Linked DNA regions of Arabidopsis thaliana. The protein of the gene in region 1 interacts with the protein of each later gene in a pairwise test. Each region holds a gene or a part of one and is shown on either strand. Other genes may lie near its edges.

Region 1 (9,916 bases):
GTATGAGACCCAACAGGTTTGTATTCATAATGCAGATTTTGCTTCTGTCTATCTCTGTTTGAAGGTGGCCTCTGATGGTGATGGTGCATATTCTCTTGCGCCGGTAAACCCCAACCTCCTTGTGACTCCTGCCCTCTTCCAAACCGTCGACCCTGCCCTGTGTTCTTTTGGAACATACTATTCGGATTTTGCTCAACCTGGACCTCCTTATTGGTAGATCGGTTTTGCAACTGGGCTTGTGTATCAGCTGATGTCGTTTTTTGTTCTGTAGTAAACCCTTGATGCTCGTATCCAACAACATTTTTTTCCTGAGATCCATAAGGTTTGTCCCTTGTACTTTCACGACCACCATACTTACCTGTCCTATTAGCTGTATGCCACACATGATCTCCAGGGACACGACCTTCTTTTGAAGCAGCAGGCAAATCTGGTTGGCTAAACCCATGGCCAGAGTGCTGCGTATGAGCTTTATTGAAATCCCTCTTATTGCCTTTTTTAGGGTCACCATAGTTGCTTCCTCCATCCTTGTTGCTTCTTGAAGCATGCTGCCTGCCGTGCATGCTCATTCCTTGATCTTTTCCAACAGCACTGGATTCCATTTCTTCGGCAGCAGAGTAATGCGTTTCAGGAGTCATATACCAGCCATCGTTCCATCCATCCTTATTACATGTGGTTTGATCCTTGGCAGCAATTTGTTCGGTTTGCTTACTAGAGTGATAGTTCACTGTTCCTCGGATGGGCTGATTTGAGGTTACAAATTGTCCATCCTCCAAAGCTTTAGTAGGTGCTCCAGAACCTCTCTGGTGCCATGATGCATGTTCTCTACCATGCTTTCCCTGCCTACCATTCCCATGTCTTGACTTTGAAGGAGACCCAGATTTCCCTGCAGTTGAACCAGAAGGTTGGAGAATTCCTGTACCCTCACCTCCACGATTTTCTTTCTGGTTTACATTCTCCGACATATCTGGAGCAGAGGTTACTAGATTTTTACTGACGATTTGCTCAGCCATTTCCTTTACTATAGGCTTCGGTACATATCTTTCAATTTCCACTCTTTTGCTTTTAGAACTAGTCTGTCCTTGATGCTGACTTTTTGAAGAGGTGCCAAACTCAGGGACAGTAGTCTGACTCCCTCCACCAGTGGAAACATCAGCTTTTTGCTGTGGATGTACTGGAGCCCAAATAACAGCATTGTTGCCAGAAAATTTCTCTGCAGGCTTATTTACCAGTGAGTTTCTTTGAGTCCTACGCACATGTTGAGATTTCCAGTTGTTTTTAGCTCTGTTTTGAGACTCTTCATTAGTGAAGGAACTGATTTGTTCAGACGAATCACCAGACACTTTGATATCCAGGCTTGGAACTGAAACAGACCCCAACTCAATTTCAGCTGCCCTTGCCCTAGCAGTCTCAATTGACTCATCTCCCGATTTTGTTTCTTTTCCAACGGCAACTCTTGTAGTATTCATAGTTGCTGTCTCCTCAGCCTTGTGTTTTTTCTTACCATTCCTGTTATTTTTTCTTTTCGGGAAAGTTGACTCAGCTGAAACGGTTGACGTCGCTGGCATGTCTGAGTTATTGCTTGAGACACCTTCATTAACAACCTCAGGAGACGGGACAACATCAAACACCTCTGCAGTAGCAACAGAGCTCCCTGTCGGTTTTTTCTCAAATATAATATTTTGCTTCTGCTTATAACCCAAGCGCTTCTGTTTTGAGGCACCGCCATCACGTGGAAGATTATCCTGTTGGGAAGGGCCCACATTATTTGCATATTCTGTTGAAGTCCTCGTGTTTTGCGTTGTGTTTTTTCCTGATCCTCCAGTAGGTTCTACGGAATTTGTAGCATTAGATGAATGAGATCCAGGATCTGTTGGCATGTCAGCCGGAGAAGCATTAGATGCAGCTTCCATGTTCTTAACTGAACCCTCCTCATATATTTGGGAACGTCTATTTAACTCTTCTAGTTTTGCAAGAGCCTTAGCCCGCTGATCTCTCGCTCTTTCTTCCTCCTCTTTCTGCCTCTGTTGAGCACGCTGCCTGGCTAACTCTCTCATCGTAGAACGCTTTTAAGGGAACATGGCAAACACTCAGTCAAACCAAAAAAGGATGACTACAAACAAGAGATACATAAAAGTATAAATAACAACCAGAATCATATGAACTAGTTTATACCTGGTTATCCTTTGGGTCTGCTGATATTCCCGACCCAGGCCTCCTGATGGACTCGGTATCCAAAGAGTCATCGACATTAACCTCGCGAAAGCTTTCTGTGTTTGTAGCTAAAGTTGTATGGGAGGAGCCTGACATAACAGTTGTCTTCTGCCAAGCATCATTGCCTTCACTGTTCACTATTCGTTTGGTCTGCGGATCTGCTCTGCCTTGAGTCTGTTGAGTAGGTCTCCTGTAGGTACTAACATCAAAACTTTCCCGACATAAAGGATGGCATAACTGGCCGAAACACAATTGAAAAATGATAACTGACCTGAATATGCTAGTTCCACCCATAGCTGCGGGTTCAGCATTCTTGTTTGTGGCAGAATCACCTTGATTATAGTGTGATGAGTTCTTACTGTCACTTGCATGACCAGTTCGATGATTTCTGGCTGAAACTTTATTTGCAGAGTTCCCAGAATTGAGTGTACGTGGTTGGCTTTCCTGCTCATCTCTATTAACAACAGATGACGAATTTTGCCAACCATCATTAGTTCTAGTTTTTGCATTTAAGCCCTCGATTTTCTGAATCAAACTAGGATCTCCAGGGGCAGCAAGTTCTGCTTTGACTGGTTGTACTTCACCACTTGCGTCATTTCTGATTTCTCTCCTCTCGTTTCTTGAAGTTTGCATCTGTTGAGCTATCTTCTCTGCATTCGGGAGCCTATTTCCAAGAAATTCTTCCCGCTTTGCATTATCTTCCCCAAACCTCCCATCTTGGTGCTTTAGGAGAACCTTGTATGGCCTTTGTGTTTCTTGAGAATGTGATGACTCGTTCCGTTCCAAAGACACTGAACTTCCAGGCGTATCATATCCACCTTGACCAGAATGATTGTTATAAGCATGCGGACCAGTAGGCCTACCTGCAAAAGGTAGGTCTCTGTTGCTGGGACTGCCATACCCCATGGGAGGACCATAGTAGCCTTCGTGTGGCGCTGGACCAACATAAAACCCAGGCCTAGTCTGCATCCTTGGGTGGACATAAGAGTCAAGCATTGGAGGTCTGAACATTCTTTCATTATTAGCGTGATTACCCCTAGGACCAGCCCCATGTCCAGGAGCAGGTGGAACTTGCGTAGGATAAAATGGAAAAGGATCCATGTGAAAACCCCCAGGACCCATTGGGGCACCATACGGGTGGTTCCCTCCGTACCAGCCACCTCCTTGATGATTATTTACTGGAGGACCACGCCAAGCATCATACCGAGGAGGAAAATTAGCATTAGGATAAGATTGTGAACCACGTGAGTCCAATTGCCCTTCCTCTCTACAATGTCTAGGTGCATCTTCACTGTATGGTTGATTCTCTCTTCTCCAGGAATTGGCATCCCCAATCCGGTCATTAGCTTCTGCAAATAAAAGACAAGATATGGTCAAATATAGTGTCCGCGAGAACATCCACTAAAAAGATGTACGGGGAATAAAGCAGTAAGAAGAATTCACATGAACACCTGTGAGGGTAACATGGCCCTCTCATAAGAGATGATTATAAACATAAGTAACTCTCGAAATGAGATGCCAACATCTGTTGTATATCCCCAAAACATAGAAAAATAGGTTTGAAAGTAAGAACCTTCTGTGCAATCTACACCTTGCCCTTCCACAGATCTTCCAGACGAAGATGGAGGACGAGCGTGAGGTCCAGCATCTGCAAATTTGTAGTTTCTAAGAGCCATGTCTAACGTATCTCCTTCATATAAGCACATCACATTCTATCTAGGTAATCCTAAAATTCTCAGTGGCACATATTAGGAGGTCATCTAAGATCGAAAAAGTGGTCAACCAACAGCAAGCCAAAAAAAAAGGTCATTCCCGAAAGTTTTAACTTTGCTGAATATCCGTGTAGATAAACTTCTCAACAGAATTACATTTAGAAGTACCAACTTTCAAAATGAACCCGTCTGTGCTAACGTCACTCCCTTGAAGGCAAGGACGACGAGTATAAGATTGAATTGTGTACAAGTTGAAACAATTTTTTTTTCCTAGTTTACATGCTGATCGTACTTTTTGAAAAGAGCAAAGAGAACTATTCTTAAATCAAAGTACTGTAATGCATGGATGACACAATAATTTTTACTGTTAATAGATGGTACCTTGTGGCCTTGTACTCTTTTCAGAAGTGTCCTTTTCAGCACCAAGGGAAGGAAAATCTCCAGAAGTCAAAGAAAACCCATCATTCTTTGATGGAGCAACTCCCTGTAGAAAACAATGAGAAGTCTAAGAATGAAGATAAATTTCATGGTAGATAATGCAAAGGTGGGTAAATTGTACACAACTATTCTTCAAAAAAAACCTTGAAGATTGAAGTTTGCCAAATAATAATACAAAAACCCTTCCATCAAATTCTATTTGCCCAACCAGAACTCGAGACTTATTGGAGACCATGTGCCACTCAGTTGTCAGATTATCTTACGCACTACAAAGCATTTCTCTAAGAGAAATAAGTGCCCTATAATTTGACAAATTTAGCATCCTAATCTTGTTCCCATAGCAAACACGAATGATGTATCCAGCTATTAAAGTTCTATCTAGATTGAATATCAATCATTAATCCCAAAAAGTAATTACCATTCACAGTCCCAAAAACATAAGAACTTGCTGTGTGTTTGTTGTAACTAAGCACAAGTGAAGTAAGAGAAGAGTGACATGGAGCTTCACAGATGTAAGGATAAAAAAAGATGCTTAGCAGAGTCCCGATAAATATTAGAGACGACTTTAAAGGGAAGAACCATACCAACTTCTCTGGCGCCACATGTTGACCCCATGTTGCAGAAGTCTCTGACACGGGTTCAGCAAATCGGGATAACTGGGAACTTCCTGGTCTTGTGTCTGCACTATGTGGACGCTGTAGTGCAACTGATGGCTGATTAGATGGAAACACCCCAGATGCTGATGAAGGCCGCGAGTTCGAATCCCATGCAACAGAAGAAGAAGAGTCATGTGCTTTGTTACTATCGGCAGTTGAAGGTCGAGTGACACTTCCACCAGAAGAAGGTCGATTACTGAGGTGGCTTGGTGAACCAGGGCCACTTTCAGTTCGTGGTGACAAGGATGATGTCCCCCAAGCATTCAGTGATGATTTACTGCCCCAACTAAGTGTTCCCCTAAAATAGATGTCCAGAAGAAAATTAAACCATCTAAAATTTGAGGACGAAAAAGAATGAGGGAAATAGCATCTCAAACAGGTACAAACTTACTTTGGAACAATTTCTACATTTGGGTCAAGGCCTTGGTTCTCTAACCTTAAATTCAGAAGAGAAGTGTTCAGGGAACGAGATTATACATATATATGAAGTCTAAATGTGATCATGCGCTCATCAAATACCTTTGGCTTGGTAAGTTAATCGGTTTTGGAACAGCAACCTTTCCCAATATAGTCATGCCACTTCTTCTTGTAGTACCCCATCTGCTAATATCCAGCACATGTAATTTCTCATCATCACCACAGAGGATACAAAGCTCTTTAAGTGTAAATGAGCAAAGTATAAATGATTATACAATTTATTAAAAAAACGATCAGCTCTTTACATATGTTTTCTACACACATTTTACAACTTTCCCTTCTTTTAATCTAAATGGTGATGTTGGCATGTTGCAAATCAATAATAATGTTGAATAAAATTATTACAAATACATGGTGAATGTCTATCATGCAAGCAAGCTCTTTCAAAGAAAGAAAAACCACACCCTGAGTTTCCTTCTATACCCCAGGCACATATAGTGATTCTATATTTTAACAACAGTTGGAATATACAGCACAACGAAAACAAGTAATTCATATGAAGAAAAGGCCAAATCAAAAGAAAAATCATGCAAGTAACGTGCAAAGAGGCCAATATATAACCCATAATCCAGTATAAAAACATAGAAAAGTTCATGACAAAGATAAAGTTGAAAGAAGAGAAACCTTCGATCTCCTGTCGTGCTAGAGGTCATTATAAAAGCAGCTACACGATCCAATTACACCACTTGAAACCTGTAAGTCACATACAGAATCAGATTCACAAATGAAATTTGAAGCTCAAATCCCAAAGAATCAAACAAGACCGACACTGAAGAACTATTGCTATAACACTGCTACCGTGAAATGTGTTGCAGAATCAGACTGCCTATACAAATTCTCCAACATGAATTGAAATACTTTCTAAAATTCACCATCATAACAGAAAGACAATGTTCGACAATCAAATTGGTACAGAAACCTAAAAGTATGAAAGATCGTCAAACTGCGGAATCAAAAGAGGTTCCAGACTAAATGACCGCAATACTAAAAAAACAATTGACGTATTCCCAGAATGTTGACAATTTCGCAATCAACTTGCTAGAACAACAACAGCAACAAAAAAAGAGCTCTGAAACATACAAATGTCTCCAGAAATGTCAATCAAGCTCTACAAAAGGACCCAAATTACTTCAAAATGCGATAATTCTATAAACTCATCACTCGATTCCTCTGGAATACAAAGGGGAAAAAAAGGTAGAGAAGAAACTGACCAAAGGGGATTATAGAGAAAATCTGCTCTCTTTTTTTGAATAGAGAGGGGGGGTCCTCGCAAACCCTAGATATTAATTGTGAGAATCGAACGAAGAGGGTGCAGATCGGATGTGTTCCTGGGCGATGAGGGAAAAGGAAGAAGGGGAAGATGAAGGAGAAAAGGAAGGATCTGTGGGAGAAAGAAGAAAGTGATGATGATTGATGAAGATGAAGCTTATTACGACGACGTTCAACGGATTGGTTGAAAGAGGAGAAAGCGTCGAAGTTCAGGGCTGCACGGTTTTACTCAGCTTTTCCTCTCTCTCTTTTTTTTTTTCCTGTGAATTGTAAAATGAATGCCGATTAAAATAAAATAGAGCGAATAAAGGATCACCTATCTCCAAAAAACAAAAATATATATATAAATTAAAAGAGTAGTATTATTCATTAACATCATTTATATATTTACCTACCCATTTTAAAAGATAGCCATAGTTTGACAAAAAAAAAAAAAAAAAGGATAGCCATAAAAACAATACTTAACAAAATAGTTTCCTTTCTTTTACATTTTACGAATGTTAAAAATGGGGGAGAAATTGAATTATGTGGTAGGTTCACTTCTTCATTTTAAGGACATGTTTAGGGAAGTAAGACGATGGCAGGCATGATCAAATGAATAAGGTTTTTTGGGTAATGCTTATGTTTATCTTCCAAACCTCTCATGTTTCTTTGTGGAGTACACTCATTCTAAGGAAAGATCATATATTAATCCGGTGTTTTGTAATCGAGGGTTGGAAGTGTTCGTACATGCACTGTGTACATGGTGCTAGAGGATGATCTTGAGCGGATTTGAGCTCAACGCTAGCTTATTTTTTTTCAAATTTTAAAATTTTGTGTAAATTTTATATACAGAAGATTTTAGATAATGCATAGTTTGATTTTTATTAATTTATTACGAGTAGTCTTAGCATATTTTAAATTTTCGTGCTTTTCTCCAAATTGATACTTAAGAGTTAGAGAGAAAGCCAACAAACTTAAGAAAGTTAGAGAACGAGACACTTGAATGCTTACAAATGATGATCCCACCCCATTTTATACAACTTCACCTTTGATAGAATCATATTCAATAAACAGTAATGTATGAAAAGAAAACAAAAAAACAAATATACTTGAACAATGACCAAATATAATAAACCTCTTGGATCCAGCCCATATGATCTTTGCTAAACTCTTGAACAATTTGGGCCGTGGCAATATGTAGATTTTGGTCCATGGATCATTTATCTATTTTAATGTTACCCTTGCAGAGATTATTTTCTTCTCTTTGTTACTTTCACAATCAACACCCCAAAATATGTTATTACAACAATTTCACCCTAAATCGTTTTGTCCAAATGTGTAAATTACACTAAACATATATAGGGCAAAATATTACATAGTCAATATAATGAGCCTTAAGCTAATCTAATTAGATGTGAAAACAGAGAAGTGACGTAAATCTAGAAAATATTGTTACACATAAAGCATTCACCAGTCTTGTACTAGTAAACAGAGATCCTGAATAAATTCAGTGTCTCACTCGGTTCATGTACTGTCGTTTCCAAGGTCTGCCATTGACAAACCGAAAAGCTGAAACTCTTCACGCCAAAGCCAAAATACAATAACTTTTTCCCAATGGGAAATATCTTTTATCGTGGAGAGAAACAAACAAAGAGCTTCGACCTAATTACACATTCTTCTTTTTCAGTTTACATATAAAAAGCCTTCTAGCGATCCTTTCACTGTGGCCAATTTGTTCTGTGACCTTTTGATCCTCTGCCTGCAATTCTACAGGTATTTTGATAGGTAGTCTCAGTTTAGAATTTGTCTACTAGGATTAAAAATTCAATTTCTTAAAATCGTGATTGGTAATATTTATGAGTTAAGTACATGAGTTAGGTTCGTAATCCAATATAAACACATTGTTATACATACCTTTATCTCTTGAGATTCTTCAAGGGTTATTTTAATCTCTTACAAAAATCATAACTTCGAATATCAGCCAAAAAAAGGATCAGTCTCGTTGGACACCACTTGTTTGTTTCCTTTGTTTTTTTTAAAAGAGGTCTTTATCCAGCTATCCCACTCTGCTCTTCTTCTTTAAGCATTTTGCATTCTTGTTTCTTGGTTTTGTGTTTTAGTTTTGAGAGAAAATGGGACAGATTCCGAGGTTTCTTTCTTGGAGGAATATGTTGGTCCTCTCGTTGGCCATCAACTTCAGCTTGATTCTAAAGATTTTGAAGGGTGATAGAGAACGAGGAGATTCATGGGACAGAACAGCGTATGTTAGCATATGGCCCGTGGTATCCACCACGGCTTCAGAATCTTCTTCGTTGTCTTCAGCATCTTGCAACTATAGCAAGATTGAAGAAGACGATGATAGAATTATCAATCTCAAATTGTAAGTTTCTACTTACTCTCTTCCATGTGCTAGATTACAATTTTCTAAAGAAAGTTCTGTTCTTGTCACTATAGTGGAATTTTTGATTGCTTGTTTATTTTTTCTTGGTGTTCAGAATAATAAATGTGTATTAATGGCGTATCCTCTAGAATCTTTAGAGAAATTTCTCCCTTATCCTATACTTGATTATATAGCAAGGAATCTAAGATTATCCTTTAAGCACGCAAGTGAAGCTCCAAGCTTTTATGCAATAATCACCATTCGATTTTAAATGCAAACATTGAAAGAGGGATAAAATAGTCAATCTAAAGGTTTTGATTCTATTTTCCTAATGATCTTTCATTGACTTGCCTATATTTTCTAACAAGTTTTCTATAGTTCTGTCTTGGTTCTGCGTATGCTTGTTTTCCTTAACGTGCGCCGCTAGTTTGAATATTTGGTTCTGTTATTTACTTTGTTATGAGTCTTATGACTCATCAAACACACAAAAAAACTTTGCAAATTGATCATGGTGGTCCATTTGTTTTCTTTTTAGGGAATTTAGATATATTTGTCATAAATGTCAACTGTTAAGTATTAAAACTTAAATTGGAAATGGGCCATTCTTCTTGTTAATGAAAGTAAAGAAGAGAGTGACTTTTTTTTTTATAATAAGGATTTGGTATGTTAGAGGAAAGGATGGTAGTGAGTGATGTTTCTTTTTGGATGCTCGCAATTAATCTAGTGTAGTGATAGCCAATGGGTTTCAAGTTTGAAAAATTTAGGTTGAGGAGACACTTGGTACATCAGAA
Region 2 (6,863 bases), on another chromosome or scaffold:
TATTAATTGCACTTGCAATTGTTATAAAATAAGAAAAAATAGGGAAAAAAAATACAAATATGAAAAACAGAAATTTAAGCGTACGATGTTAGAAGACATAATTGTAATAGAATTAGATCGGAACAAATTCAGATCGAATGAATAATAGATTAGATCGAAGATAAGTTTAAATCGAATGAGTAATTAAATAAGATAGGAACAAGTTCAAATTAAATGAATAATATAATTAGATCAAGATAAGTTTGAATCGAATGTTTAGTAGAATTAGATTTATTTTTCTTTTTCCTTTTGAAAATTTTACTTTTATCATACTGATTTGATGAAATCCGTTTAAAATTTTAAGATTTCTCAAATTCATAAAATCAAAAAAAAAAAGAAAACAGTTTCTAGATTTACTGATCTACCCTTTTATTTTTCTCGGACTCTGACTAGGGTGATAGGTTTGGTTTATAAATAAAGCATACGGAGGCTCTTGTCTTCAATCTATAACATTGAGAGATTCAGAGACAAGTATGGAAGAATTGTTACCACACGATGTGATAGAGTATCATATAATGGTGAGGCTTGATGTGAAAACCCTCCTCAAGTTCAAGTCTGTATCGAAGCAATGGATGTCTACAATCCAATCCCCTAGTTTCCAAGAAAGACAGTTGATCCACCATCTTAGCCAATCATCAGGAGATCCACATGTGCTTTTGGTGTCCTTATATGATCCTTGTGCTCGTCAACAAGATCCAAGCATAAGCAGCTTTGAAGCTCTGAGAACTTTTTTGGTGGAGTCATCTGCAGCTTCTGTTCAGATCCCTACTCCTTGGGAGGACAAGTTGTACTTCGTTTGCAATACTAGCTGTGATGGTCTGATATGCCTCTTTAGTTTCTATGAACTGCCGAGTATTGTCGTCAATCCCACCACTCGATGGCATCGAACTTTCCCTAAATGCAACTATCAACTAGTCGCTGCCGACAAGGGTGAGAGACACGAGTGCTTTAAAGTCGCATGCCCTACTCCTGGATTTGGCAAAGACAAAATCAGTGGCACTTACAAGCCAGTTTGGTTATATAATTCCGCTGAGTTAGACCTAAATGACAAGCCTACTACTTGTGAAGTTTTCGATTTTGCCACCAACGCTTGGAGGTACGTTTTCCCCGCGTCCCCTCATCTGATTCTTCACACCCAAGATCCTGTTTATGTAGACGGGTCACTTCACTGGTTCACTGCCTTGTCACACGAGGGCGAAACCATGGTTTTGTCTTTGGATCTTCACTCCGAAACGTTCCAAGTCATCTCTAAAGCTCCCTTTCTCAATGTCTCTGATGAATATTATATCGTCATGTGCAACCTCGGTGATCGTTTGTGCGTATCCGAGCAAAAGTGGCCCAACCAAGTCATATGGTCGTTGGATGATTCAGACCACAAGACATGGAAGCAAATATATTCCATAGACCTCATTATCACCTCTTCTTTGTTCTTTAGTGCCATATTCGCATTCACCCCACTAGCAGTTTTGGACAAGGACAAGTTATTGTTTTATGATAGTACACACGGGGATGCATTCCTAACACATGATCCAGATACCAAATCTTATGATTTGCCTTACACATCTAATCGCTGTGCAACTGTTGTTTGTTATTTCCCGAGTTTAATTTCTATTTTGTAGACTTGAATGATTGGTTATTTGTCCAAGCATTCTTTTTTGGTCGTTATTTGTCCAAGCATTCTAGTTTCTGATTAGTTTACTCACTGGGTTATGAATTACTATGTTTTATCAATATCAACATCACATTACAAATTTTCATAAATTTAATGTTTTGATTATACCATACATCAAAAGTACTAATGACGAGAAGAAAAAACATTATTCTTTTTTTTACTCTGTAATCATCGATTCTCCAAACCGAAAAGATAACAAATACTATAAGGAATAAGGGATTTGATTATACCATACATCATTGATTAGTAAAGGTTAGCTTCTGACTAAGGGATTTTTTGCGGAAACATAATAGCTTCTTACAAAGGCTTCTCTACGTAACATCAATCTTCTTGTTGGTATACTTATTTAGCCCCCTTTGGATGAAAGAAAGTACTAACAAAGATATAAACTGAAAGTAATATCGACCAAATATAATCATAATCTAAAGAAACAAAAGCTTATAATCTCATCCGTACATGACAGATTCAAAATTAAGTTCAGGTGCGAGCAAAGTCATATTCATATATAAAGCTCGAAATGGAGGGACGACCTCGGCATCATCTCTGTCATAGTTCTTCTTATTCCGGTACGGTTTCTATTGGTAAGGCATGTACCGCATTGGCCTTCTGAACCTAGGAGCCTTCCTGCACGAGGCATTGCCGAGTCTCGTGAGACGAAGAAGAGAAAGCCATTTGTGATAAACTGATGGTAAATATGCAGAGTTTAAACTTACCCGTATCCATATGGGGAATAAAAATACGGAGGCACAAAGGGTCTGCGAAAGCGGTATCCCATTGAAGGGTTGAAACGCCCAGGATGATACTGTTTCATTCCAGGAACATTGGTTCGCTTAGGCGAGACCTGAAATGAAAACCAAAAGAGAAGAGTTGAGATCAATGAACTGTCCATTTCCTTCAGTATTGGTCTTAGTACGAGAAGATACCTTCAGTTGACGACCATGAAGCTCTGATTCATTCAGCTGCAGAGCTTCTTGCACGGCTTCCACTTCTACAAACTCCACATAAGCAAATCCCTTTGGCTGTCCAAACTTGTCCATTAGAATGGTTACCCGGTTGACTGTTCCGCATGTTTGGAAATGTAGTTGCACTTCTTCAGGTGTACAGGCATAGTCGACCTGCAGGGTGGATAATGAGGTCTTAGTACAACACAAGCATTCTTATTACAACTAAAACCATGACTTACTGAGAACGTAACAGATAGATAAGTTAACCACCCCACTAAGGGAAGCCAAGAGACAAACTTGTGTGTTCTAAAGCAATTTTCCATGTCTAACATTAGACCTAAGTTATGTATGGTACATAAACGCTATGAAAGTCTTCATTTTATGAGCGTGAGTTCAAAAATACATGATAAAAGGCCAGCATCAAACTGCAGCCTCTCGCGAAATCCGCAAACAACCAAACCTGTATTAGCTCCAAGTATCCTCCCTGCGGAGCTTTGGGTCTTGTTTAGAAAGCATCCAGCATCTTGGCATCTTGATCCAGCTCTTCAGAGTTCAGAGACCATCTCCTCAAGGATAACAGAAACCTTGCTTTCTAATCCCACCCAACTCACTCAGACTCCCTTTTTCCTCTCAAGAAATCCTTCTTTTTTTTTTCAAGCTCATGCAATATTTTTCTCCACATTTTTCTGCTATATCTTTTTTTTTTTTTTTCAAATTTTTTTCCTTCTCTTTTCTTTTTACTTTCAACATTTTTTTTATAGCTTTTTTATCATCAAATTGCACGGGAAGAATGATTTTAACACTACAACAAGGAAACTAGCAAAACAGTCACAAAACTTAGTTGAGAACCCAGAGCTATTAAGAACTTCATTTATGAGAACAACCCTGCGATTATATAGGACATAGAGGTCAAACTCTTCAACTAGAAACAATAAAGAACCTACTTCACAACATTAAATTTAGAGAAAGCCTCTTGATACAGATTCTAACAGTAATCTCAAGGGATAAAGAACAAAGCTAAGACACAATTGCAAGCAGTTCTTTTATCAAAGATGAAATTTAAGTTAACAAAATAGTCAGCCTAAGCTAATCCACACTAAGATTGGCAAACAGATCAAAGCCGTTTAGATGAAACAATGATTCAAGCACAGAAGAGATACCATGAAGTAGAAAATAAGCTATCTTACATTGCCAACATAAACTGATCGAGCATCCACCTCCTCCTTTCCTTCTTGATTTGCAGCCATACTAGCAGGATCTGAAACAAATTGTTAAGCAAGAAACAGAAGTTCAATTTCCTAAAAGTAATCTACACAATCAACAGATTCCTCCTAGTATATCAAATTCAAAGATAGTCTCGAGCAAACGAATTCAAAAAAAAAACGAAAGAGTCACAAAACCTTGAGTAGCTCCCATTTCTTTTTCGACTTTTGCTTGCATCTCTCGTAGCGCAGCAGCTTCTTCCTCCATCTCCTTTAATCTCCTCTTCATCTCAGCAAGCTCCTGATTCCATGAAATCAAAACACCAAAAATCAAACAGATGTATACACACGATATACAACAAAATCAAAATCGAACGAAGCAGAAGTAGACCGTAACGGCGTCCTCATCGGCTGCAGACATATCGATATCCGGATCGGGAACATCCGTATCGCCGACTTCAGGGATTTCTCCACCGTAAACCTCGTGCTCTTCTTCCTCCATTTTTGTTTCCACTCTTCGGAGCTCAAGCAAACGAATAAAGCTTCGCTTTGGTGAATGAAAACGACTTGCACACTTTTCCTACCGATCCAGATAGGTCGATTGCAAACAACGACGTCGTCTCGTATTGGGCCTCGGTTACAAACTTACAAGAGCCCATTATCATAACACTCTAACTGAATCTGAAGGTTTTGATTTTTCTTCAAAATTCAATTCGGCCCATCATAGGCCCCAAACATTATGGAAGAAACAGGCTTGTGAATAATTTATCAAATTATATCATGGATCAAATTAAATTTATGGACCAAATTAAGAGGTCTGTGAAATAATACTGCATAATATGGATCAGATTAATTTATATCAGAGACAAATTATCCACAAAAATATGATACAGTTTGATCCAAATTATTCCAAAGGTATTGATAAGAATGACTTTTCCCCAAAACATATCTACAGCCATTTGTTAAATAAATAAATTTTAATTGCAGTTAAGCAAAGTTCTTCGTCTTCTTCCAACCTTTTTAGTTTTTTACTTACCACTGTTGTAAAACAGAGGATTTCGGCGAAGATGGCATAAGGAGACAGTAGAAGCGATTCTCCGACTCCATAGTCTCCGATCAACACCAGCTTGAAGAAAGGAGTCAGTCTTCAGCGACGGGTCTCCATATTAAAAGAGTTTAATCGAGATTGAGTTTTGGTTCAAAACATTACACTTTTTGGAAAAAACACTTTAAAGGTAGGTCATCAGTTTATCTAATAATGAAGACATCTGGTCATTTACTATCAACAAACGGGCATATAAATAAGAACTAAATATAACAAACGTACTACTAAGAGGTTCAAAACTTTGATATAATAAAAGGCTTGAAAAGTTGACACAAAACAGAAACCAAAAATAGTGTTCAAAATGGCGTTCTCATGTCTGTGGAGCAACTTAAATACGACCAGAAACAAACTAGAGAGAAAGAAATTTCTTAATCTTGAGGCAGTTTAAGCAGCAACGGGTTTAGCAGGAGCAGAAGAGAGTCTAGACCTCTTCTTGGCCAAACTTTCACTACGGCGATCACGCTGCTCCTTTAGTCTGGAGGCAAGAAGCTTCTGGTAATCAGCTGCATCAGAGTTAGCCTTGGCGATTCTCTTCTTCTTGTCAGCAATTCTAGCTCTCTTCCTCTGGAGGGTCAATGGAGTCACAAGCCTCTGGATCTTAGGAGCCTTGCTAACCTTCTTGCCTGCACATGGAAGCCTCATATATTAGTAAATCATCAATCGTATAAACAGTTTTCAATTATCTCTTTAAGTGAATCTAATTTTCTTACCCTTCTTGTTTGTGAAGGTACGGCGGTAAGTGTTAACGTACTTCCTCACATCATCCTCTTTTCCAAGGTTAAACAACTTGCGGATCTTTGATGCCCTCTTGGGACCTCTCATTCTTGGCTTCTCAGTGTCGGTAAGCCCGGGAAGATCACTTACACCCTTCTTCACAATGACCAAGTTAAGAACAGACAGGTCAGGGCTCACAATGCAACCACGGACAGACTTTCGTCTCCTCTCTCCAGTCCTCCTTCCGTGTCCTCTAAAACAAGGAGTACCTAAACACAATAACCAGATCACATAAATAAAAAACACAGAAGATTAATGAAAAAAAGAGAAGCTGTATAATTTTATCAATGGGGTGGAATCTAGTACCTCGGTGAAGCAAAAGACGGACACGCCCTGGAGTGAGAACTCCTTGTTTCATTGGGAAACCTTGCTTGTCACATCCTCCCATGATCTTGAATACGTATCCCTTGAATTCCTGCAAATAGCTCAAAACACACACAATTCTGTTAAGTATACTGAACTCACAAGACATCAGAAAAAAACACTGAACCAGGAGAAAAAATTTCACCTCGCCTAGAGCATCTCCGCTAACTTCCTGAGAGAGCCTCTTGTCGAAAAAGGCGCGGCTGCATCAAAACAACAGAAATGAAACTCAATATCTTTACCAAAATCGACAATGTTGATTTTCAGATTCAGAACTGGTTATATATCAGACCAACGCAGTAAACATCATAGATTCCAGTAATGCATCAGCTATAAACAGATCCTAGCAGTGTGAAATAGTAACTATCCTACGATTCAAAGGTTTGGATTCAAAGAATTTTACGAACTTCATAGCAGATTGTTCACACTCTACACTCAATAAGCCAAATGTAAACAAATCCATGAAGAAAATGTGATTTAAAGCAAAGATCTTACAGTTTTTGATCGTCATCGATCTCGAGTTTCTTTTGACACCCGGTGGTCGGATTGGCGACGTTGAACTGCGACACAAACCAAAATCGATTGAATCAAACGAAATAACAAAGAGATAAACGAGAACAGAATTGATGAGAAGAAAAAGATGGAGCCACCTTCATCGTCTCCGATAGACACTGCTGCTACAACAGCCTGCGTAAGATGATTGAAGATATAAAATGCTCTCGACGCGGCTCAGCTTTTAGGGTTTTGCGAGAAAGTTGAGAGAA
Region 3 (8,131 bases), on another chromosome or scaffold:
CCTTTCATATGCCGGAAGATCTTGGAACTCCTCAGCAACCTTTAATAGATCCTTTTTCTTCTCAACCAGATCAACTTTGTTCATACATAAAACGCGCTTTTGTTTCGGATTTTCTTCTTCTCCCATGTATTTGATCAAGCGTACCACTCTTGAATCGGGACTAGATAAATCAAAGAGAAAACAGAATTCACAAACTACAAAATAAGTCTAAGAGAACTCTATTTCTACTTGTAATTAATGAAAAACCACAGTCATGATGCCTTCTTCAAAAGAAAGAAATAGATGTGTCTTCCCATCGGTTTACGGTTCTCAAGCTTATGGATAATCTCGGAGAGATGAACAAGATATGAAAGATATCGAAACAGAGAAGCTAGAAATAATAATCCCACCCTAAGATACCCCACTTGATGATGATGCTCATAACCATACTACTCTCAGTTCCGAGATAACTTATGTAAAGCTAACAAAGTACAAAAACTAGTAAACGACTAACCTCATGAGATGCCTATGGACATCAAACATAACAATGAGGACATCAAACAGGTCAACAGAAGTCCAAGCATTTTGCACACGAGCCTTGATGTCTTTGTAACCATATCCGCTTTTCTTCAGCATCAGACCCGGAGTATCGAAGAAACACTGCAAGGTTCACAAATATCAAAAATTCAATCTACGAATGGCTGATCTCCACAACTAACCATAACGAGTAGTTTACATATGCAACAGATATATAAGAGAAAACTTACGACTTGTGTATCTCCTTTTGTCAATACTCCTAACACTTCATGTGTCGTCGTGTTAGTCTTCCGTGAAGCAGCAGCAACCTTTGTTCCAACCTACACTTGGACATAACGAAACACTAAGCATAACTCTCATCAAGATGCAATAAACAAAGATACACAATCACTTCAAAAATTGCAACTTTAGGACTAATCAAGAGTCATAGCAGCACTACATAAACATATACACAATGTCTCAATTGATTCTCAGAGACCAAATCACAGGAATGTGAAATTAAGGAAATGAGCCAACCATGAAATTAGTCAGCGAAGATTTTCCTGCATTAGGTGGACCGATGATGCCGACATTAAGCGACTTCTGATCTTCTTCTCTAACTTCACCTTCACCAAGTTCTTCATCTGGTGACTCTAACGCAGCCTCTAAGAGAGCCTTAGCGAGAATCCTTGACCTATCAACACTATCCTCATCATCTTCAGAACTCTCTTCTTCTGCAACTTTCACTTTACCTTTCTCTGTCAAGTTTCCAAAGAAGGCTTTGTTTACTCTTTCTCTGTACCCTTTATCCCAAGTTGCTTCCTTGGGCTTCTTCACGGAATCTACATTGGAATCGTCGATTGGGTATTGACTACTATCGAAAACAGAGTCGCTGCTTGATCCGTCTTCATTGATGGAAGTGGGTTCGTCTAGATTCGGCTGCGCTGAGTAAAATCGGCGGAGAAAGTTTTGTGCTTGATGGGGATTACGAGGTGTTGTCTTCGTCGTCGTTCGTGAGATGGAAATTAGTATACGTAGAGATCTAAAAGCTTTCATTTTTGTAACAATGGCGAAGTAGCGATCTCGGAGAAGTACAGATTTGAACGAAATGTAACAGAAGAGGCTTCCGAGGGTTTTAGAGGTTTTGATGTTTTGGGGAAGTGGTGACAAAGTAACTCAATATTACAGATAGGCCCCTCACTTTTTGACAAATCCAACGTAGTCCCTAACTTTGTATTCGATATAATTACTACTAGCAAAGTAGCAATACAACAAAAATTCATACTAATCGTATCAATTGGAGTTTGAATATACAGTTAATGGAAGGAATATTAGTCAATTTTGTTTTGGCAAAATATTGAACAACATGGTGCAAACATTTTGGGTGAATCTGTATAATATAATACTTTGATCAATTCAGAAGAAAAGGAGACAAAGTTCTTCCTCCAAGTCTCCAACGACCAAAAAAAAAAAGGACTAAACTTCTGAGAAAAAACATCTCTGAGATCCCTAAACAATGTAATGGTAAACTAACTCACCTGGCTAAAGAATACAACAGATGGAAAGTTAATAACTTAAAATCAGATCATAAATTCAGTATCTGAACAAAAGTGAGTGAAGACTTGTTGTTGTAACAAAGCCTTCATCCATATCGCCTTTTCTTTGACGCTGGTTTGGTTTGGTGCCAAATTCTAAAACGCCATCCGCCCAGCAAGCCTACTCTCTGAGATTCGTCTGTCTATCGCTGCATTTATCGAGTTCATCTGCAAACCAAAAGAAACAAACTTGGTGTTGAGTTAAGAAGTTGGATGCTTTATTTTGAAAGAGTTAAGTGCGTATTGTTTTGGTTCCCCAAGGCAGTGAGATTGTGCAAAGGTACCAAACTTTGCAGAGTTAAGAATATAAAAAGAGCTGACCTGGGTTTGAAACCAAACCTGTAGAGTATGATCTTGTGGAACCAATCACCACATTTTTAATACAATACAATAGACAGGAAATATAATGAAAAACAAACAGATACAAACGCTATGTTTCTCACTACCTACTATTGCAAGCTACAAATGATACCTTTCGAACATTGATTCAAAATGCTCAAGTTTCTTGCCTAAGTCCTTCTTATCATATTCTAAGGGAAGAAATTATAAACTGAATAATACGGTGGTACCTCTTAGCACAGAAACAATAGGATCTGGAACAGAAATGTATAAATAAAGCCTACCGAATGGGTTAGACTTGCAAAAGCAAACTCTTCTTAACTTTAAAAAGGGTAAATCAGAACTTACCTGGCTGGTTTCATCGTGCACTTTGTATTTTGGTAAGGACATTCTTCTTTCCTCCTGCAGATACAGACACATTGCGTCAGATTGGAAAACCAAATGGTTCATTACTCGAAACTTTTCCAATTGTAACCATTCCAACATGATGCATAAGAAATTAGGAATAAACTAACCATAGACATCGCTTCATCATCCCATACAAGATAGACCTCATTAGGCTGATTGCTAGGAGCTTTGTTTGCAATTACAGGAGGTGGACCAATTGAAGGACCGCTAGTGTTTGGGCCAGAGGCATAAGAATGAGCATTAGTCCCACCTACGGCAACAAAACATGAAAAAGATATTACAATTTGATACAAAACAGCTAAACCAAATGTAAGTCAATGATTCTACGAACTTGGGATTGAACCTGGAATAGAATTGTTAGGCGGATAAGCATCTGCTGATCCTAAAGCATCTGCATGAGATGGTTGCTGAGCCCCACCAACAGGCAGAGGAGCAGAAAATGGTGGAGCTTGAGAAGGAATGCTGTTATTCACAACAGGGAACAGAGGTTGAGGAACTGGCATTGCAGGTGATGATGTAGGAATTCCAGGAGGAGTTACTCCAGTGACTGGTGATGGTTGTATGGCAGGAGCTGAGGTTGGAGTTGGAGTCATCCCCATATTTTGAACAGGAAAAAGTGGTTGTGGTCGATACCCTAAATGGGCAGCTGGAGGTACAGAAAGAGCTGGATTTTGAGGATACCATTGTTGCGGACGAGGAGGTGGCATTTGCCATACAGGAGCAGGATGACGCATAGGAGGACCCGGATAATACCTGCTAACACGAAATATTTTATCATGGTCAATAGCCATACATATTACAATATCTAAGATCATGAACTATTTCAAAAAACTGTTTACTACAGGTGTTATTGTGGTCTTGAAGAGGAGCAAAAGAATGGTTCTAGGACAAAGTTCTATCCTGAAAAATCACGAGAACAAGCTAGGGAAACTAAGAACCTTATGGGTCATAGTTGGTTAAGTGCAACAATATCTTAGATAACGATCTATTTCAAAAAATGTTTACTACGGGTGTTATAGTGGTCTTATAGAAGAACAAAAGTAGAAAAGTTCTAGGACAGAGACAAACTAAAGAAACCAAGAACCTTTTGCATCAAGAGAACTAAAAGAAAAAAAGTTCCCCATCATTTAGCATGGATCGGATTTTTAAAAACAGAGACAACATCTAAGAATTCAACAAGTAACGGCCATAGAGAGAGTATAGTATAATTAGTACATACATTGGTCGTGCAGGTACAGCACCAGGTACTTGTTGAGGCGGATATACCATTCCATATGGTCTAGGAACTACACCACCAAGAGGGGCAGAAGGAATCTCAACTTTTGCAACTTTGGCTGGAGGCTCATCCTCTGCAGAAAACATGACTTCAGTTCAAAAGGTACCATATGAAACAAGCAAACATAACAATAATATATAATAACTTTGATAAGGCAAAAAGCCGCATGCAAAATCAAAACGAATTCATGACCACTAGATGCAATAGATCTACAACACTTGATGAAGAGACATACAAATTTATCGCCTTACTTCTCTAAATCAATTGCTCATAATCTAAACAGTACTCTCACTATCTCAAATGCATACCTTCTTCTCCATAATGAGCAGTCAAGACATGGGGTGGAATTCCTTGCATTCCATATATTTCAATATCAGTTGAATCTCGACCGTCTTTAGCATTAGGAACTCTGGTGTGAAAATTGTAGATAATTTCAAAGTTAGTAGTGTCATGGAATCAAATTCCAAATTCAACAGGCAAACACATTGAACAGTACCACAAATTCCAAGAAAAACCTATCAAGCAAAAGCAAAAGCAAAAGACTGTTTCTTTACAAAAATTGCAATCAGAAATTAGGGTTTATGACCAGACATATACAAATTAACCAAACCCATTCAAGAGATAATCCAAAAAAACGATTCAAATTCCAGCAAACATACACAATCAACCGATTCAAACCACAACACAACAGTCACAATTAGCGCAATCTAACAGAAATCAAACGACAATCACACACAACAAGAGCAAAAAAAAAATCAGAACTTGAACAAAGATCATAGAGGCAACAACCCTAATATTCCAAATCAACCTAACACAACAAAAAGAGCCATAGGGAAAGGGTAAAAAGAAAAGGCACATACTTTGTAACATTCTCTTTATGAACCTGAAGAACATGAATCACCATGCCACTAGCTGTAGAAAGCTTCTTATGACAGACATGACACTTAAAGTGCTTAGCTTTCTGATGCTGCACAAGAATCTTCTCATCATCAAACTCTCTATCGCAGTAATAACACCACACCTTCTCTGTAGCTCTCTTCTTCTTCTTACCCATCACTAAATCTTTCTCCTATTTGTTGATTTCAAGATTTGATCTCAAAATTGAAATCTCCAATCTCTCAAAAGTCTCGTTCTTTGTCTCCTTCCTCCGCTCGCTAGGGTTTCTAATTGGTACAAAGCGTTTTCTCGATTTCTTCTACGATCTTCAGATTCTCTGTTTTTTATTTATTTTTACTTTATCTAATGGTTACTATCTTGTATTTATAAGAAAAGGTACTTTCTTGTGTAATATTTCGTAAAGAACCCATAACTCTTGTTTAATTATATATTTTTCCAAAATGCTTAGTAAGTTATATAATGATACTATTAGTATTGGTTATGTTATCCGTTAGGATGGTCAAGTGGTCTAAGAGCAACCTCATTAGACAACTTTTTATAGATGTTTTTAGTATAAATAAATAATAAAATTAAAGACATTTCACTTTTGTTGTGTTTAAAGTGTCTCTACAGAAACACAAATCTCAAACTAAAAACATTCATAATTTTTTTATTATTATTATTTATAGTTTTATATTTAAAGACATCTACATATAAGTGACCAATGTGGATGCTCTAAGGCCTTAGACTCAAGTTTTGGTCCTCGTAAGAGGGTGTGGGTTCAAACCCCACTTCTGACATAATTTTTTATTCTTTCAAGAGTTAATTTTCTTTGTCCAATGAAATCTCAAATTAACTTAATCTCAAATTAACTTAAAATAAACTGTGAGAAAACAGAAGAAGATTAACCAACAAAGTAAGTAATCTCTCTTACAAAGAAACTTTGACCAGAAAAAAGGAATCCATGTAACAGATAAGAAGAAGAGACTATAAGAGCTAAGAATTACATAACTATTAGAAAAGATTATAAATAGAGAAAAAAACAGAAGAAGATTAACCAAAAAAGTAACTAGTCTCTATTACAAAGAAACTTTGACCAGGAAAAAAAAAGAAGAGCAATTCCTATAACAAATAAGAAGAAGAGACGATAAGAGCTAAGAATTAGATAACTATTAGAAAAGATTATAAATAGAGGATAGCTATTCATTATTTCTTAAGTACATGAAACACTTGCAACAACAAAAAAGTTAAAGATATGGGTGCTAAATGGAATTCAATGATTATAATGGTGTTTGTGGTGACAATGGTTATAGCAATGGAAAATGTCAATGGAGAGACGAAAGCTCAATGCCATGAAGATTGCATTCTAGGTTGTGCCACCACAGGAAGAATTCCGATCACGTGCCTTCAGAATTGTTACCGTCGATGTCCCGGCAAACCTCGTCGTACATTAGGTAACCATTTTTCAGAAGGTAAAAACAAACAAACAATCTAACAATTTTGGAAATATGTCAAAGAAAATCTATTTTAATGATTATTGAGATTTTTACTAACTATATAAAATATATTCCCCTTTGTATAAATAAATTTGAAGTAAGTTTGACTAGTGTAATAATAATAATAGATTAACAATGGAATGTTCAAATGATTGAACGGTATGCTAATGTTTCGAAAATGTGGTGAAAAATAAAATAGCAACATAACGTTTTGAAATAGTAAAATTTTGAGATATATTTCGGTAATAAAGTGTTTTAAATCTTAGAAACATCATTGTCACTGTTTAGGTATACATATAGTCCTGAAAATATTATTTTTTAAATTAAACTCAAGAGATTATTTGGAAAAACTAAAGGTTAAAATAATCGATGGTTCTAATTTGTATAGTGGAAGCGCAGAAATAGAAGAGACGATGAGTCATGAATCAGTGTTGGACTCTTGGGACTTTTAAACTAGCTCTTCTTCTACTTTTGTATCCTCCTTATGTAATATGATCATTGTAAATTTGTAACGCTATTAAATAAAATAAAATAAAATTTGTCCCATGTTATAAATTTCTCTTGACTGTAAACACGTCTCTGTTTAACAGTTTAAGACTCCTCTTAGATTCGAATCTCATATTTCATAATTTTGGAAGTGACATGTAGCGGCTTATTGATTTTCTTGATTCATATTTTTTATTTTAGTTATTTCAAAGTGTGATACCTTGTGGATAAAGCAAAATCCATATGACCATATTTACATGAGACAAAAGTGAAACCATCTATGTTCAGCTTCAAGAGAAAAACACTTTGTTTCAATTTATACATTTAAAATAAAACTGCCACTACTACGTTTCTCCTATTGAAGCAAAATTGGCTCTCACTTGTTTTGCCGTTTCTCTGTGCTTAAATCCGAAGCTTTTACATTTTTCTACAACTTGTGCAATGTTTGTTTAATTGTACATTTTAGCTAATGGTTACTCTCTTGTGTTTATAAGAAAAGGTACTTTCTTGTGTAATATTTCGTAAAGAACCCAAAACTCTTGCTTAATTGTATATTTTTCCAAAATGTTTAGTAAGTTACATAATCATATTATTCCACTTCTGGTCCTCGTTAGGATGGCCGAGTAGTCTAAGACTATCTACAATGATTACCTATTTATAACACCCACTTTTTCACTTTTAACACTCCACATTATTTTCTCTCTCTTCCACATCATTATTCAACACCTACATAATTTTTAATCTTACAATAGTTTTGTTTAATAAAATTACAACACCTTACCCCACCATTTTTATTTCATATTTTAACCTATACATTATTTTTGGGTCTAAAAATGGTTTTTTCTGTATTTAAATCAAATGAAAATAGTCTCTGTTTATAGAGAATGAAAATTTATAAAATTTTATATAAATTATATATATATAAATATATATAAATATTATGAAATAATTGAAGTTATATAATTAAGATGAAACAAAAATATTAGAAATCAAAGCAACCAATCAAAATATAACACTTGTCACACTTATCTTCTCCCTTCTACTTTCACGGATGTTAAAATTTATCAACACTAAATTTGCCACATCAGCTACTTTTCAATTACAAAATACCATTATAGTGGAATTTGTTTTTTCACCAGTTGTAAAATGGTTTACAACAA

Evidence for each region.
Region 2: the proteins of MOS1 (region 1) and AT5G10350 interact in a protein complementation assay, tested with the Arabidopsis thaliana proteins (one study listed by BioGRID).
Region 3: the proteins of MOS1 (region 1) and SUF4 interact in a two-hybrid assay, tested with the Arabidopsis thaliana proteins (one study listed by BioGRID).

Annotation. Positions count from the first base shown.
Region 1 is NC_003075.7:12,729,656-12,739,571, reverse strand, and holds the start of MOS1 (modifier of snc1), read right to left. Parts: upstream 6,895-9,916; 5' UTR 6,770-6,894; exon of another isoform or gene 6,706-6,769; intron 6,188-6,705; 5' UTR 6,148-6,187; coding exon 6,119-6,147; intron 5,621-6,118; coding exon 5,537-5,620; intron 5,454-5,536; coding exon 5,409-5,453; intron 5,316-5,408; coding exon 4,946-5,315; intron 4,408-4,945; coding exon 4,305-4,407; intron 3,902-4,304; coding exon 3,785-3,901; intron 3,561-3,784; coding exon 2,483-3,560; intron 2,402-2,482; coding exon 2,173-2,401; intron 2,064-2,172; coding exon 1-2,063. Other genes in the region: TAR2 (tryptophan aminotransferase related 2), read left to right, coding at 8,878-9,125. UniProt on the Arabidopsis thaliana protein: Involved in the regulation of the chromatin structure and DNA methylation at the SNC1 locus. Regulates the expression of SNC1 at chromatin level.
Region 2 is NC_003076.8:3,253,388-3,260,250, forward strand, and holds AT5G10350 (RNA-binding (RRM/RBD/RNP motifs) family protein), read right to left. Parts: upstream 4,425-6,863; 5' UTR 4,360-4,424; coding exon 4,249-4,359; intron 4,159-4,248; coding exon 4,056-4,158; intron 3,914-4,055; coding exon 3,843-3,913; exon of another isoform or gene 2,827-3,842; coding exon 2,635-2,826; intron 2,553-2,634; coding exon 2,425-2,552; coding exon of another isoform or gene 2,421-2,424; exon of another isoform or gene 2,336-2,420; coding exon 2,287-2,335; 3' UTR 1,849-2,286; downstream 1-1,848. Other genes in the region: AT5G10340 (F-box family protein), read left to right, coding at 460-1,658; EMB3010 (Ribosomal protein S6e), read right to left, coding at 5,347-5,585, 5,673-5,945, 6,043-6,151, 6,245-6,302, 6,595-6,659, 6,750-6,755. UniProt on the Arabidopsis thaliana protein: Involved in the 3'-end formation of mRNA precursors (pre-mRNA) by the addition of a poly(A) tail of 200-250 nt to the upstream cleavage product.
Region 3 is NC_003070.9:11,038,427-11,046,557, forward strand, and holds SUF4 (zinc finger (C2H2 type) family protein), read right to left. Parts: upstream 5,348-8,131; 5' UTR 5,168-5,347; coding exon 4,974-5,167; coding exon of another isoform or gene 4,970-4,973; intron 4,523-4,969; coding exon 4,422-4,522; intron 4,187-4,421; coding exon 4,057-4,186; intron 3,591-4,056; coding exon 3,181-3,590; intron 3,088-3,180; coding exon 2,945-3,087; intron 2,832-2,944; coding exon 2,634-2,831; 3' UTR 2,259-2,633; coding exon of another isoform or gene 2,187-2,258; 3' UTR 1,849-2,186; downstream 1-1,848. Other genes in the region: AT1G30960 (GTP-binding family protein), read right to left, coding at 2-160, 494-639, 747-836, 1,033-1,551; AT1G30972 (Plant thionin family protein), read left to right, coding at 6,245-6,484. UniProt on the Arabidopsis thaliana protein: Sequence-specific DNA binding factor that recognizes the 5'-CCAAATTTTAAGTTT-3' sequence. Recruits the FRI-C complex to the FLC promoter. Required for FRI-mediated FLC activation, but has no effect on the expression of MAF1, MAF2, MAF3, MAF5, UFC and CO.